Styela clava: one gene and its partner. The protein of the gene in region 2 interacts with the protein of the main gene of each other region in a biochemical or structural test. Links are inferred from orthologs where the notes say so. Each region holds a gene or a part of one and is shown on either strand. Other genes may lie near its edges.

Region 1 (9,236 bases), on a different chromosome or scaffold from region 2:
ACTTCTTTCCGGTTTTCTTATTGGCCTTTTCTGCTGCCTTGGTTTGTTTTCATGTCATCTCAATTGCATTCACTCTATTGGAATAGCAGGATAAACATAATCTAACTGAGTGATTAGGGCCATATTTGAAACCAAAACTGGGACATTTCTGAATGAGGAACCATTTCAATATACCAGATTCGAACTGAAAGAACTATTGACATCGTTTGACAGCCATTTTAAATGTAAAATTGCTGATTTTTAACGGCGCATTATACATGTTCAACAAATTTAATGACCTATACTGAACCAGGAAGATAATAGCTCGACCGAACTTATCACGTTTGAGATACAACTCGTCCAGAGCCGAGTTTAGAGCAAGCTGTGTCAACTGCGAATTACAAACTGTCATTTTAATAAAAATATGTGTGCTTGCACAAATATACCTTGGACAAACGATAAAGAATTCCTTCATTCACATCAGATAAAAAACTGCCTTTTTTAATATTCTACCGAAACACATCAGAATCGATGTAAACTTCATACAAAATTTACCATATTCCAAAGTCCGTCACTTGCAAGTACAATAAATTGTTCTCTTCCATCAACTAAGTCATAGCAATGCACATCAGGTACTGGCGATACTATAAATTCATTTAATTCTGAATTGAAGCTCCATAAATCACCGAGTGAACGTGCAATTGCAAGAAATGGTATTCTGTCAAGTTTTGTGCTTCTAAACAAGAAATAACAATACATAACAAGGGGGATCATTGAGCTTATTGAAAATTACTTGACTAGTATTACAAGCTGAAATTGGAAGGAAATATATTAAAAAATAAATTTTGATAAAATATATTTCTAGAAAAAGGAAAATTTGTCATTTTTCAATACAAATTATACTATGTTAGCATTGTGAGAGTTGGTATATACTACAGTTCAGCAACCGTAATTAACAACACAAAATACTGATATTTCACTGAAATGCATCTGATACGATTGTTTGCATTGTGAAAGTTGGTATATATCAGGGATTTTCCATGTATTTAACAACACAAAGTAATGAAAAATAATGTATGAGATTATAAAAGTTCATTATTTTTATTTCGGCTCATTGCACCATAATATTTATCGTAAATGTTTTACCTTCTGATTGGACCACTGTGTGTTATTTTAGGTCTGTTCCATACGACTCTATTTACTCCAGCTTTATTCATAACACATCCTCCACAGTGTTCAATTCTTTTTTTTTCTTCTGGTAATTCAGGTTTATGATCAACGGTCAGCTCCATAGCCTGGAATAGATATGATATAATGATATCACCAGCACATAGCACCATCATATTTATGAGGTGTTTTCCTTCCCACTTTCTGAATAAAGTTCTTTTAATTAAAAAGCCACTGATAACTTAAGGAGTAACTATTATAAAAAGATTAGTATCTTCCTAGTTCAGCATTGCTCAACTAATTTTTTCACAATCATTCACATAGCTATTGGCATATTTCCGGAAATACTGTAAGTCCGTAATACGGTTTTGCTCTATCTGCATGGGTGTAAGACTTATGGACAATATTCGAAAATTTTAAATCAAAATGAACTGTGATAAGTATTTGGGAAAACAGAACCATTTAGAGCATTTTTACTGATTGTTATGGACCTGAACTGCTTCAATACTTCTGCCAATCAGTATAGTATTGGTAAGTGTGAGTGTATTGGCACCAGGATCGTTTTCGTGGGTCTTGGCGTTTCAGTGGTTGCTCATAAATTTGCTCAGATATGACTCTGATTGAGTGCAAGTGAAGTGTGACCTATCCCTAATAAGTAAATGAAGTTTCAGTGTACATAGCTACTGGATTTAATATTGAAGGTGGCAAATTCCAAAACTCCACGAAATAATGAAAATATTGAACTAAATGAACACTCAATTCAAGAATATACTAATACCATCGAGATAAAAAAAATATAACATTCTGATAAAATTGTTTTGTATAAATGGTAAATTAAGAATAGAAACTAAACAAAACATAAAGCAATTGCAATACAGACTCAGCCTAATTGCTTATTAAATTTGAGCAATGGTTTGTGAAATGGGAGTATCGTATATTGACATCTTTTCTCTTTACACAATATACAGAATAATTGACTAAATTACACCACACAGCTGTAATGGTATACAGAGGTAGGCACACAGTCAACAAAGGTTCTAATACGATGACAAAAAGCATCGACATTGTAATGCAACACTAGTATAGGTTAGCTTTGAATGACCCATCAAAGTATTAATATTTTTGAAGTGCTAAATAAACAAATTCTTTGGTATATCATAAACAGAAACGAGAAATCTTGAAATATGTACAAAGATAATCTGTTGATGACCACCCTATAAACAATATTAACTAGAATCACTTCTGTATATTTTATTAGTAGACGTAAGTTTGGCTGAAACTATATAAGCTAATAGTATAAAAGTCAACATAACAGCAAGTTTTTGTGAAAAATAATAATTTACCTGAAAAGCCCTGGCATTATTTTTGAAGCGATATTCTCTTGTTCCCATGACTACCATTGAATCACCAACATTAGCAACGTACATCTTGTTTCCTCGGATAAGGACCAGACTAACAGTTGTACCTAAAAACAAAAAAAGCAGGTATCACAATATTTTAATATGATGAAGAATTTCTCACAATATAATATAAGCTATACCACATTGGCAGCTGGTATAAAATGATTTAGTTAACTTAGTAATTATTTCTGGCTTGCAAGTTGTGAACAATACATATTTTTTTCCTAATTGAATTTTTTATTTAATTCTAGATGTACCAACATTAAAAGATAACAGAATATAAAAATAGCTAGTTTCTATGTAAAATTTAGTCATTTTACATGAATTAAACCACAAAAATTTACACATACGGTCTATGGACATCCGAAATTAATTGGATATTTCCAGCATATCAGATTATTTAAACATCCTTATTCATGATTTATAATTCTCAGATTGGTGAAATAAGGATATTTCGATGCTGTACATATTCCAGTGAGTAGTGGTAAATATTTGGTCATCTGTTCTCAGAGACAACAAGCAATACCACAGGGTGGCCCCAGAAATGGAACCCATAAATTTTTTAATAACTTCTAAGAACATGAAGACAATTTATTCAACATTCTCTTGTGTGTATAAAATTGTAGGCTACCCAGAGGTTTCAGTAATTCACGACGTTTGACACAAAAGTTATGTCTCTCTAGAAAGCTCCAAAAGACTTGGTTCTGTTTTGGCCATCCTGCATAGATAACAATTATGTAACTAAACATATCAAACATCAATACTATTGATTAGTTGACTTTTAAAGCATGTTGCATCAATAGCATATATGTTCGATAATACTGATTTTAAATCACGCATTCTATTGTTGAATATTTATAAATAAATTTCCCATTGGCATGCAGCTAAGTCATAAGTTATTGATAAGACATTTGTTATAATGAATAACTATGATAATGATTGAAATATTCAAACATGATATTGATTCCTATTTATGGGGTATGTTACAAACCTGCTGTACTGGGATGTCCGTTATACGTCTTTGGCCATGTGGGTAAATGTTGCCACATTTGGTGATGTGTTGCGATAAATCCGTCTTTTATTGACTTCTTAACTTGTTCAACATCTTTAGAAAAAAATCCTTTTTGACATTTAATATTGTCTAAAATATTGTCTCTGGCAAAATGTGCGGCTTCTTTGCCGCCATGTCCATCAAATATAGCAAATGCGGCATATTCCACAACTTTTTTGTTTTGTTTTGCACGTTCGAATTGCACTGCCGTCACATCTTCCATGTATCTCCTTCCTCCTTGATTCACCTCAGCAGTCACTCGTAAATTCCAACAATTTGTGGGAGACATGGTAGACAGCAGATTACATTAGCTTGATATTTGCATACATAAAATAAAACAAATTAAACATAATTATGGAAAAAATTACAAATTTTTTTTTCAGGTTTTGAATTTTTTACCTAAAAGAGCTGTCCCATCTACATAATAGGAACTGGACCAATCTGACCTACAGAAGTTAAAACAACTGCTCGAACATAAAGAATAATAAATATAGCAAAAATGAAGAAATTACAGTATGTTGAAACAAAGGTTACAAAAAGGTAGACTAGAATATTTCGGTGTTTGTTCAAAGCAAGGCTTCGGGAACTGAAATCTATCACATTTTCCAAAATAAGTTATTTCGCCATATCTCAAAAAATTCGAGAAAAAATATTTGATCTTAAAATATATATATCTTTTAAATAAAAGTACCTGGAGATGTCCAAATGAAATGAAATATTTGAATATGCAAAAATTATGCACTGAATTTTTTTTAAATTTAAACAAAAAAAATTAACTTTAGAAAGTTTTACCAATGAAACTGAGATTTGCTTAGCACAAAATGCTTGTGAAAATAGAAACTATGGTATCTATAACTAAAAATGGTACATGATCTAATAAGAGCATATTCTGTATACAAATATTTTATCAAAAATTCCAAAACATTCAAATTTTTCAGTTTTTGCCATCTATGCACGTAATTTGTATTTCAAATACCATATAAAATTAATTATTTTGTCCTATTTTTTTACATGATTAAGAAACAACAAAAAAAATAAACACAAACAGATACACGTATAATACAACTTTACAGCCCGCGAATATGTCAGTATTTATTATGATAGCATAGTTGAGTAGTAATGTACAGGAGTAGAATAAACGAAGACTTCCTGCACGAAGAATACAAAGTAGATGTATATTATAACAATACCTACCACGAAGGTGCAAAAATGAAAACTTTATGCACAATATTTTGCTCAGGTAAATGGAAGTTTTTTAGATTTAAATTACAAAATATTATGGAAGATTCTATAATGTTCAAATTCAAACAAATATTATACCAGAAATATTCATTCTAGTTTGAAAAACTAAAACATGTTCTTGTTTCAATCAGTTATTCGCACAGTGCCTACTTTTATATCTGAAGATCTCAATATATATATAAACCAATTATAGTGTTAATTTAAATCAGTTGAAATGTTAATTTAATAAGTTAAATTTACAAATTATTTTTGATTATTACGAATCATTTTGCTGTATAATGAATCAGTTTATAACCACCAATCATCTAAATAAATAGCAGAATAAAAAACGGGGATCCATTATTCATTGTGCAATGATATAACAAATTTCAGAGGCAATATAGCGACTATAATAAAATCATACTTAAAAATACAGATTCGATAAACGAATTATTTTTTGCTGAAATTGCTGAACAAATACAGAGGCAATAGAGCTACTATAATAAATCATACTTAAAAATACAGATTCGATTGAAAGAAATTTTTATACTGAAATTGCTTCCCAGCTCCAACACGTCATGTCAGTCCATCTCCGAATTAACCAATTTCAAATTGCCTGAACGCAAATTTTTCAATCAATATTGCACTCTTATACATTGAAGATTTCAACACAGTAAACCAGAATAAGCAAACCTATTTCAAACTATTCAGCTTTGGATCGTTCTTCAGCATCCACTTCTGCAAGTCTTCGCGAAGCATCAACCAAATGTATCAAACTGATCACTGCTTTTCCGATCATGATGGGTGTACTGAGGTAAAGAACCAATCGGACAAGACCGAGATTCAATCCAGCGAATTCTATCAACGGGCCTTCAGTGAAATGCAAGAGATACAGCATGGCAAAGAATAATTCATTTCCACTGCACATTGCAAACAATACAGGCCGGGATGTGTAGTACAGCCGCATGATCGGGTTCCCCTCTAAACCAATGCTTTTGTGACTTGTTCCTCCAAGCTGAGAAACATGCAAGTGCATCCAATGGCTTACAATATCAAGTGCTAAGCTCATTTGAAACCAGAACATATATTGAGGGTAAAATGTAGCAAGTGCCACACATAAACAAGCTGTGGCCGCACGGTCCGTCAACTGATCCAACATTGCACCAAACTTTGTTCCTTGATTAAGAAGACGAGCTGCATGACCATCAAATGCATCTAGGAATCCACTGAGAATATAACACGCGGCAGCAATAATATAATTTGTTTTGATAAAGTAGAATGCTACTATAGCAAGCACGATTCTCCCATAGCCAATCAGATTGGGTACAAACATAAAAATATCATGTGCAGTAACTATCTTTTTAGTCATTTTGATCTACGAATAATTTATAATCTGTGAAGGCAATTGAAATACTTATGAAATTTAAAAGTGCTTAACTGTTCAAAAATGATATCATATATACTACATAAAAGAGATGATTGATAATTCTGTAATTGTCCAACAACCATAGTAATAATTCAGTAATTGATAAAAGGGTATTTTTTCGAATGAAGTATTATAATACTGTAATACTTTTATTTGTAAAACATTCACAGATTCAAAGTGCAAATTAGCTGACCATCCCAGCCTATACCATTCAGCCATATCTGCATACAGGCATAGCTGCATAGGGGCATATGAAAAGAACAACTCTTAAAATTTGCTACCTCTGTACCCGGATGCAAATTATCTACCTACCCTACTATCTGACTACGACATTAAAAAATATTGCGCTGTGTTGGAGAACAGAAGAATGACTGCAGAATTTGTCTGCATGTAAGGACATATTTCTGTATTTTCAGTATGTATACAAAGAGCGAACATATAATTTATTACAGTACGGCACACACAGACACATAAGATCTGAAGATTCCATGACTGTCTGACTGTGTTGATATGCTGATATATGAAAAAAACACCGTCTGACGGTGACATTACAGCATTAAGACTGTAAAATGGGTAAAACGAGGAGCAATATCTGGGTATGCCGTAAAATAAATACTGACATAAGATTGTAGGTTAGTCTATAATGTTTTCCAGACTATTAACAAAGCTAAATTGTGAAATTCATTCCTGTCGATTATTATTTTTGCCTGTTAATTCCAATTTCAGTTAAAATAATTGATCGCTGTGGAAGTTTCAGAATATTATTGCATGGTCTGATTTCCGATAGGAGAAAATAAATATACATTACCCATATAAAAATTGTATTGTAGCACTGCCGAACACATGAAGGGCGATAAAATACAACAGCGTATAGTCACAATTACAACTTATCGTAGAGCAAAAAATAAACAAAGTCCAGAATTCAAACACAAAGACTAAAAGGCGCAACCAGCAACGTCTGTTTGAAGAGCAGGAGCGCCCCAAGTGGATATTATTTTGTAATTTATTTGTGACGCAACAAAGAAAATTATGCATCCGTTGGGTATTTAAATTTAAAAGAAATTGTTGCGTAACACAAGATAATTAATCAGCTGTTCGTGACGAATCATAAAATGGATACTGAACAATTAAAAACCAGGAAGATTTTATGTCTGGTTTGTTGAGAATCAAATCAGATGGCCACTGTTTGGATGATTAAATGTCCTAATTGCTACATCCTAGGATATTTTGCCCATAATTACGTACCAGTTTTATACGCTCAATCATTATTTATTTTAAAACTGATATTGCAACTCATTCAAATTAAATTACTTTCATGGGTTCTAACGTTTGATTCCGTGGAGGATAATTATGTGTGAGAGGATTGCTGCCACCGCCGTGGGATGGTATACGTAACCACAGGTCGGTTACAGCTTCCTCTACCAACAAATCCATGTATCTGAAACAAATACCTGGCTAATCCCATAAGTCATAAGATATAACATATGCGATTCAACAAATCTTACTTCGAAAGTTATCTTCGTATTTTAAAGTTAGGGAATGGCACGGCGGTGTGGCTCAACGGGTTAAGCGTTAGGAATACGCTCGCCACCGCACCTCTAATTACTCTGCGTGGGTTCGCAGGTTCGAATCCGATGTGGAGATGGTTATGTGCGAGAGGATTGCTGGACTCCTCGCCGTCGTTGGGTGGTTCGCGTAACCGCTGGTCGGTTACGGCTCCCTCCACCACCAAGTCCATGCTCCCGAAAACAAACAATATAACTAATCCCATACCCGACTTGGAATGGTAACCGGACGAGAGGCCGCGGTTCGTCATATGGATAAGCCGTCTTATCGGCTCTCCTCTCCCCGGGAAAAATGTGTATATCCTATCCAATGGAATAAACATATAGTGATTCATCTTCATCACGCTCTTATATTTTATATGTGATTTTATATATGATTGTCTCAAACAAATTTCAAGCTGAATAAATCTTTTATGAAGGTCCATTTGAATGTCATTAACTGTTTTACAAACATCCTCCACTTGAACTGTTTCTAATTTCGCGTTTGTTTAACTAATAATAATATTATTAAAATGCATACTTATAAAATGGTTTTATGCATTCAAGTTTGTGCAATAAAACCGAATGTATAAATTGTTACTAATTCTACTTGTAAATTGTTGTATCCATGAATGTTCACAGCAGCGATTTTACAGCGATAGAATAGTGTAAAATGTTTATTTCACCACAATTGAGTAGGTGACATATTTTTTATTGTTCAGCACGAAATGCTATCTTGCAATGTGCTTCGTACTTCTTTTTCTAATTTTAATGAAAAAAAAAATATATATCCGATAATTTGTTGAGAAAATTTGTTGCACAGATCTATTTGTCTAACTAAGCAGGTTATAATGCTCAAAAGTTAAACGAATAGCAGATCAGAATTCCAGTGATAGTTTAATTTATCATTATTTACTTGAGAGGGTTTTCAAAGTAGCTAACAACTTACAGAGACAGAAGAGTAGAGACAGACAGTACGAAGATCAAGTCATAGGCAAATGTGGTATTAGCCGAATTCTACATATCTTTCAGTAATTGGAGGATAAATTAAGTGAAAGTGGATAATTCAAGTTGTGGAATACACAACAACATTATATGTAAATGGTGCAAGACTAAAAGCAACGTTTATTTAAGTCAATATAAATTAGCAAATAATAAAGTTTCGAGAAACAATGTTCATGGTACAAAAAAAAATGCAATCTTCTCAAATTCGAGCTTAAGATTGGATCATGTAAAATAATACAGCATATGCTTTTCGGGACCAAAGTTTATGGTTCTGATTTTATAAATATATTGATACTGTTATGCATTGATAATAAACTAAAATGCCCGTTGTTAAATGTTTTTGAATTCTCTTTCAATTCCCAATGAGTTGAATGAATATTCAATGCGCAACAGATTTTGGAAAGATAGTTTTTTTTATTCAACATTACACTTTTATAAAATAA
Region 2 (8,931 bases):
AAACAAGTAGGCGGCAAAAATAAACTCGAACTTCTGACTAAAATAAAAAGTACTTACAAAAACCTACCCTTGTGATTGTGAAATGTTTTTTGCTATATGTGGTAAAATGTTGTGTCTGTTTTATTGAAGGAATATCAAACGTATAAGTACAATCCTGTCCTCGACCAAATGTATATATATCTTCCCGTAGGTCTGAAAATAAAATGGGGAAAGAAACATTATGAATAGGCCATAAGAAAAGTATTACAAACTCTTACAAGGTCTCTGCTATAGGAAAACAAGAGCGCTAAATTTTCCTCTGACCAGACTGTTTTTGACCTAGTCGTCTATACACTGATAACAGACTAACTGCCAATACCCCTTTAGTATCACTGATGTTTTATTATTAGAAAATTGGCCATGATGAATCAGTAATTACGAACGTATATTAGACCTAATCATGTTGGTATGGCAGATTGAAAATTTAGGGTTCAAACACCATGGCCATCAATATCATCACACCCAGGCATTAATAAATTAGGCTGACAGTACCAAAACAAAAAAATTCCGGACTTTTCAAAGATTATAGATACGTCTTTATTGACAGCATTAAGTTGCCATTGAAAGGTCAATATATATTATAGTTGATTTTTGTTGTCAATACATAAATATGTCCAAGATTAGTACGAAGAAGAAGTAAAATAGTTTACTAACCAAAAGGATAAAAGCATCTATCAATTGGATATAAAACACCCCATGAAGGTTCATCTGCATCTGCACCTTCATCTGACACAGAGGCTGGTTCCTGTGTTGGCACTGTTTCAGCACTGAACAAGGAAATAAATTAGGGTTAATAATATTTAAAAGGAATAAGAGACCAAGAAAATTCAACAAATCTCAATGGATAAAACAGACCTGTTTTGATTATGAAATTAAAAAAAAATTTACCGTAGGCTTCTACATATCAATAAAAATTAAACCAAAGAGAGATATACCAGACTTGATTAGTATACTAAATATCAACAATTAACGTTAGCACAGTCTGGAATGGCAAAAACCAAATATTATAGTATTCCGAAAAATTTCCTGAATAATAATTTCAAATATGGAATAAATAGCCTATAGAATAATTCAAATAGGGTCATGTAGAACAGATAATATGTAGAAGTTTATGTTTATTCAAAGAATTTCAAATTGATAATGCAGGAGAGTCATAACAAAAAAATGATTAGATTTGTTCTTTATTTTCGAAATCAATTAAAGCTGTTTTTTGATTTTTCAATTTCCTAAATTTTCCATTTGTTTTGAATATCCCTAGACATAGACATCATGATAACTAAGAATTTGGTCAAAGGAGCCATAAATACAATATATGAACTCTTTCTTATATCAGTGAATATCTTATATTATGTGAAAACTCTCAATCAATATACTCCATTTTTAAATTTGTATGTTGTCAGACTAGGACAGGCAATACAGAAAAGAGTCCATCCACTCTCATTAACAATGCGTAAGAAACAGAAATGGCTTAAAATTTAAAACAAATTTTAAGACACATCTTTATATTTTCATCCGCATTACTATACCACTTTTGTAACGCACTACCAGGAACAATGAAGGCTGGTTGAGCTGACTTAAAAGTGGATTAGGAGTACACATCCCCGCATTCCAAGCATATCTATACTTATGAGTTATATATACTGATTAAGGTTTTCAAAAATATTCTTATGGCCTATTTATAACAATTTGAACATATTGTAAATTTTTTCATATTTTGACATGGAATTAACAAAGTAAAAAATCCAAGCTTTGAGTTGTTCAGATATATGAACACACAGATAGACTGGATAGTGTTGGAAGCAGTAGCTAAGAAACACCAGATTTTCAAAGACTTGGCACATGAATACTTGAAATATATAAAGAAAAATGAAAAATGTTAGACTTTTCTAGGGCCCTAAGGGTTGAGCTTGTCCTATTTCAATAGCATGATAAAAATAATAATGAAAGATAAATATAACATGTAGGGTATATTCATTCGAGATGTCGAGTGGGAAAATTTATAATCAACTATAGTGCCATTTAAAAAAAGAATTTAACGTGGGGTCTAAGTTGACAAAAATCCCAACCTTCAATCCCGGACGTTTATGAGATTATGATCCAGCTCAAAAAACCCAAAACCTTTGGTTAAAAGACTGTTAATAAGAACGCTTAGTAAACCTAATGCTTTCTGGGTTTCTGCGAGTATTTTGACTTTGTTCACTCTCATTGAAAGTCCAACTTTAGAGATTTTAGAATTTGAATATATGACTCCAGCTCCAGTGAAAACTTTACATATTAGACTTTGAATTCAAGCACTAATCAGAGAATTAAAACCTAAAAGTTGTTTTAGTCACCTGGAAACAGTATTTGCAGTTCCACTCGATGATGAAGTACCAGTTTGTCCACTGCTGCTACTACTTTGTTGATTTGCTTGGCTGCCGCTCACACCAGAACTTTGAGGCTTTTCTTCTTTCCCATTTTGACCAACATTTGAGTTCTGGTTTTCATTCATTTTTTTTAATCCTTCTTTATAAAATTCACAGTGAAGAATATACATATATATGTTATCCAATCATATTCCAATCGTAAATTCATTTTTGATTATTTTAAACATGTGAATAGAGAACAAAATAAAGTTAACAAATATACTGCCAAGATATATTGTGAGATAAATGAGCTGACAAGCAGTATAAAATGAAAGGCTGTGCGATGCGAACTGAACGGAAAGGGAACAATTTGAAAAATGAAAATGCAAAGTTTGCAATTTTGACACACACAAAATATACAGTAGTATTCAAATGGCTAATATGATGATTCAAACTCGGGTATAACTGTGTACAAGAAGATTAATAGAGTGGTTTCAGTAACTGCTGATAAATTACAGTCTCCTACCAGCAATAACTATTTACCTTGGTAAATGTTATCATTTGCAAATGGACTAGAATTGAAGGGTGTGGTCCACAACACGCCTATTTGTGCTTTACAAGTCTATTTTGTGCTTTCCTCTACTGGGGCTATATGTAATACTAAAAGGTACATATAAAAATTTGTGAATTAATATTTGCAAATTGACAGTAATAGTAATTCATTACATTTTGTCATTAAATGATTATTACAATATAATGGCTCTATGAGTATAAGTTAACACTGAAAGCAGGCACTGTTTATAACATTAATTTTATGTGGATGCAAACGTAGAATAGTATTCGAAAGTTGATTGAAAGAATATTCAGAATAGCAGGAAACTAATGCAGAGAACAGAGACTATGTTTTAGAACATAATGTCAACATTGATGGTGAAAATGTACAATAATCGTACAAAATTTTAATCTAGTATAAAGCTTTCAAGAGCCTTCCCATGAAAAATGGAATTGAGGGGAATTCTGAGTAGTAGCGAGAAAGGCTGGGAAACTTGAGCATGGAGCCATGAGTTTCGTTAAATCTGGAACTACCAGAAATTTTATTAGCTACAGCTCCTAACCAATTTATAATTTTTTCAAACTTTTAATTTTCGAACCAACTCCGCGGCCCTGGTAGCGAGATAAAAGTCTTGGACCAAAAAAAAAAAATTCAAAACTGTCGCCTCACTTTACAAAATGTTCATGAATATAATAAAAGAAAATAGAATGATAATGGATGAAAGTAAGGAAATAGACATGACAAAGATAGGTAATAACACTCATAACAGGACATTGAAAGTAAATTTTTAACAAAGAAGTGGAACATATACAATAAAGCAAACCTCATTAATTAACAAGGTATTGAAATAAAATTTTTAATTAGTTTGCTAAAGATGAGTGCTTTTTTTGTTAGTCTAATTATATTCAATATTTAAAATGACTATAGCTACTACTCGAAAATTCATAGACAAAAATTTCTTGTAATCTGAAATAGTAGGCCTACATAGCAATCACTTGAAAAAAATAATAAATGTCCTAGCAGCAAATTCTCATACTAAAGTTATAAATATGAACAATTTGTTCTGGCAAAAATTAGAGCTATTCATTTACGTCATCCCGTCATGAATATTAAAAGTTGACTAAAGTAATAAAGTAGTGAATTAAACAACCTTACTTAACTGCACATGCAATACTAATTCCAAAGAACAAACATACGACTATAAGTTAAAAATACACCAGATATAGAATTCTCAATCCCACTAAACAATGCTACCAAAAAAGCACAAAAAGTTACAAATGATTCCAATGTCAATTAATCCAAATATCAAATAACCAGAAAATTACAAAAAATGCTATTAAAGGATCACCGTCCAGAAGTCTAATTGAATAAACCAGTGCTTTACAAACTGTTTGGTTAGGTGACACACTAAATTAAATAAAAAATAAATTTGCAAATATTTTAATCTAAAAGTTGTTGGAAAATTTATAAATGAAATGTATCCCTGTATATAGGTTAAAGCACATGAAAATCCAGTAAATCAGAATCGTTAATAAGGCGAGAGCATCAAAAACGATATAATCTATTAAACTGTAAATATCTAGTGTGGAATTATGTTTCAAGGCTGATAGACAACATGCAATCATACTCAATTGAGGCACATATGAGTCGAGACTACAGTTTTAAAGTCACAGAAATTTACTATTTCAATAGCGTATTTTTTCATTATATTTCTTGGCCTGTTTATTCAATATATATTGGGAATTCACAAATGTGTTTTCTTAGTAGTTGAAGACTTATCAATATCTCCTGCATTAACTGCGAGTGAGTCCAATGATTGTTGAATCTCGCTGTTCACCATCATTAATTTTTCACACATATTATGCGAACTATTCTCAGGTCCGATTATAGCAAAAAACTTTTCCGAGCTTTTATCTTCTAGATGTTTGAAATAAATTTTGATAAGAATATCAGCTGCGGGTTCATCAATAGCTCCGAACGCCTCAGGCACCCAAAGGGTCCGAAGTAGAAATAACTGACGTATTGCCAGATGTACTTGTTCGCTAGAAATACTAGATTGAAGTACTTGTTCTGCTTCTTCCACTGTCATAGATTTTAAATCATGCAACATCTCTATGTCTGTTTTATCTCTATGTGCTTGAAAAGTTTTCTCAACAACTAGGATTTTCTTTTTTAGCATTCCGAGTTGTTCAGTAATATTTTTCGTTTCGACGGTACTCAGTGATACCAAGTTTATCAGCTTGTTAAAGCTTTTCAAAAGTAGCAAAAGCTGAAAGTGAAGTTTGTATAACATTCGACAGAGTTCCAATTGTTTGTATTCAATCCCCTGAGATTTTGTATTTATCTGTTTTGTGTTACCATTTTCAAGACTTTTTATCAAGTCCATACACTCTGATGCAGCTTTTTGTTTTGCGTTGTAGGAATCTAAATGATCCTGTAATTCTGAAACACCAAATTTCATTTGTTCGACCACTGGTTCAATAGCGCTTTTTGTAGCGAGACAAATTGGGCATTTTATTTGTGAGGGCAGTTGCTCGACCATGGAACTAAAATGTTCTGCAATTCTAGATAATTGCCCACCTAGATGTTTACAACCATCTTTACTTAAATTACTGAAATCAATACATAATACTTTGAAAAGCATTGGAAAGAGATCAAAAGTTTTTGAAATAAATGCAGAGTCGTTATATGTTGCCATAGAAGCGATGTGAAGTTTCCATGTTGTATATGTCGTGTCATGGTAAGCGGTTCCATCCTTTACTTTAAAACTAGTAGAAACCTCATTCGGAAGTTGTAAAGTTTTGACGGGAGAATCCGTTAGCTGCGATAAGAAATGAGAAGGTGAATCAAAACGAATTGCAGTCAAGTTTGAAGTGATGTCGCTAGTAGGTGGTGGTTCCACAATTGGAATATCTATCTGACCAAGAGTGTCATCAGAATGAGGCAAGGATTGTAGAGACAAGGATGAAATGGTTGGAGGTGGTGGTGTGCCTAAATTAGTCAAACTTGAAATTAAAGTATCAGTTTTATCCATTTCTAATTGAAGTTCTTCAGATGATGAAATCGGGCTGTTATTTGTGAGATCGTTTTCCAGTTCATCTAAATTGCTCAAAGACTCAGAAGTATTTTCTTGATCGTTGGTCGATTTCTCAAATTCTGATGTTTTCATCGATTCTGAAGAAGATAGATTTGACTTTGGATGTATAGCACTCTCACTTTGAGTGAGTGATCTGGAGTGAGTTTTTTGTGACAATTGTGGAGAATCAGCGATGTTAATGCTTTCTACGGACGATTGCGGCGTGTTCTTTTTTCTTTGTTTCTCGTTTTCTGCAATTGAAGAAATCATTATCATAGAGGAGTGAGTATCGGTGGTCTCAACATCAGTAAATATACTTCTTGTCCCACTCCATGATTGCGACAAAACACCAGAAGTGAGTGAAAGTGTTTGGTTATAATCATCGTCATCCTGACTGTGTAGAGATGTAAGCTCATCCTCTTCTGTCGGAGTTTGATCCAGATCTTGACTCATGTCATGATTGGCGATTGGTGTAAGATTATAAGTGTCGGGGTCTTCTTCTGTTACACCAGCTTCATTATCTTGACCGCTGGGAGTTGAAGATTGATTTTGAAGTAGTGCAAATCCTTCTTCATTGTCCTCCAGTTCCTCGTCAAGAAAATCAAAATTCCGTAAAACTCTTATATCATCAATACCACTTCCACTCTTATCACTCTCCGTATCACTTTCACTCTCATCCTCATTAGAGTCGTAAGATTTTCCATCGACATCCTCATCTTGAGTGGGTGACATCAGCCTATCAGGTGACTGGTGATATTGGTTCATTTCTTCTTGTGTCGGGTCATGAGACATTTGTAGATGTTTTCCACATATAGGGAGAACACATACAATACTATCGTAAGTACGTTTTTGAGATAAGTGAGGCCTTTTCCAACTCGTTACAATTGATGAAGCAGTGCTTGGGTGGTAAGAAGGAGAACTCGAATGTGGGTGACGTTTACCCATTGATTCATCTGTACGTCGTCGTCCAACAATTGGGGTATTTGAAAGGTTATATTGGAAAGTTAAGGTGCGTCCCGGGAGTTCAAGACGATCCATATCACCACTCAAACTAGAGCTTGTTGGGAGCATCCCAGAAGCAGTTGGCGTGGTGATTGCAGATGATCGAGATACGGCCAGTTTTAAAATATTTAAAGCCTCTTTCCATAGTTTTGTGCTGTTAACAAACTTTGATACAGTACGTAAAATGCTCTGCGTAAAGTCAATTTCCTCAGGGGAGTTTGAAAGTAATATTTCCGACAAGGATAACATGCTACAAATAAGCCTCAAACATGACAGATGAGTAGAAACTGGCCCTTTATCCAACAATTCAATCAAAAATGTCAATTGTTCTCGTATCGAATTAGGAAATGTTTCATGAATATATTTGCATACAACGCTGATCCAAGTCAAGCAGGGTTTGCCATATGAGCGATTGCAGTAAAGACTCATTACGTGAGCAAGAGATTGTAGTTTTTTCTTTTGTGGAAAACTGTCCAAACAAACTTGAGCTACATTATGTGCAGCATCTAAACACATTTGATCTGGGTCATTAAAACAGTCCAATAAATGGGGCAGAAGCGAAATTACATTCATTGAAAAGCCACAACCTTGATCTGCCTTGCCAGATATGAGTGAAAAATTTGATAAAGTAGTAAATGAGGATAATATGTTGAATGTGGCATTGTAGGTGACAGATGACGTAAGACCTTTCAGAAGCATATTTTGAATTCCATGAAAAGACGTCCACTTTATTTGAGTAACATATCTTTCTATTAGTGAGCGACTTTCCGCCTCTTGTAAAGGCAAATGGGAAAGTACTTTCTCAATAAGTTGAACAGCAATGAGAAATTCGTGTTCATAATCCGATTCCAACAAGGCAACACCAATCCAAAATATTTGAGCAAATGTCATTTTCCTTTCCTTGGACGAACTGTGGGGTCTGACATAGCATGACAATCCTACACCAGTTTCTGAATTCATTGACATACTATGACCAGTGCTCGCAGGTCGACGAAAACTAAGTTGAGCTGAAACTTTTCTTTCCAAATTTCCTGACTTTGTTCCTTGAAATGATTCTGCCTCCTTAGGTGGAGATGAGACTGAGTTTGCAGATGACACATCGGATTCAGTAGAATTGTGACATAAACCTGCTGTTGGTACACTAGATGAATGCATGATATCATCAACCATTTTCTTCGACAAAGTTACAGAACCAGATCTGCGATGTGCATGTTTACGTCCTCTTATAGTTGATTCTGGTTGAGCTGTTGCATTCTGTGATGGCAAAGATAATGGAGCAGCACCAGATCTATTTGGACTAGCAGAGTAATTCGGCAAACGACCTGGTGTTGGAGACCTAGGTTTTTTGATTTGCTCAGAATGAACATGCAAAGAGTGGGACTGCTGTGAATTTAAACTTGAGTCTGCTGCTGTTGTGTTACTAAAAGAGGCTTCACCAGAAGACGATTCTTTTCTAATCAATGAAATATCACAATCATGTAGTAAAGTTACAAGAATTTCTATTACTTGTGATTGTGTTTCTTGATCATTACCATAAACAATCCGATTCAAAAGGCAACGGACTAATTTATTGAAGAAAACTGGCGATAATGGTAGTTTCAAAGCACGAAATACCTGCAAAGATCGATTGGCATGGTGCTTGTTATAAGTTGCAATTGCAAACTTTGACGCTTCACTTCCAAGTCTCTCCCTAACCTTTAGTCTGGGTATTTGTTGCTCAAATAGCTCAATTGTTTTCTGCACAAATGCAGACAGTTGTTCTGTACTGTTTAAAAATAAATTTTTTGGATTAACAACTTCATAAGTCCATAATTGGGTCGTGGCACTGATCAAATTTTTCAAATGTGATGCACACAAATTTTTCAATTGACTTTCGGTTTTTACATGTTCAGAAGGCTCTGTTTCTCCATTTTCAG

Evidence for each region.
Region 1: of the proteins of serine/threonine-protein kinase Chk2-like (region 2) and uncharacterized protein LOC120337247, one has a biochemical effect on the other in vitro, tested with the Homo sapiens proteins (2 studies listed by BioGRID, with this or other methods). The link is inferred for Styela clava from reciprocal best matches to the Homo sapiens genes CHEK2 and PPM1D.

What each region holds. Positions count from the first base shown.
Region 1 is NC_135259.1:13,993,700-14,002,935, reverse strand, and holds the start of uncharacterized protein LOC120337247, read right to left. Parts: upstream 3,929-9,236; 5' UTR 3,887-3,928; coding exon 3,538-3,886; intron 2,612-3,537; coding exon 2,490-2,611; intron 1,275-2,489; coding exon 1,126-1,274; intron 716-1,125; coding exon 535-715; intron 1-534. Other genes in the region: CDP-diacylglycerol--inositol 3-phosphatidyltransferase-like, read right to left, coding at 5,522-6,187. UniProt on the Homo sapiens protein: Involved in the negative regulation of p53 expression. Required for the relief of p53-dependent checkpoint mediated cell cycle arrest.
Region 2 is NC_135252.1:13,799,860-13,808,790, forward strand, and holds the start of serine/threonine-protein kinase Chk2-like, read right to left. Parts: upstream 3,587-8,931; 5' UTR 2,576-3,586; coding exon 2,373-2,575; intron 807-2,372; coding exon 694-806; intron 193-693; coding exon 68-192; intron 1-67. Other genes in the region: protein furry homolog-like, read right to left, coding at 4,682-8,931. UniProt on the Homo sapiens protein: Serine/threonine-protein kinase which is required for checkpoint-mediated cell cycle arrest, activation of DNA repair and apoptosis in response to the presence of DNA double-strand breaks.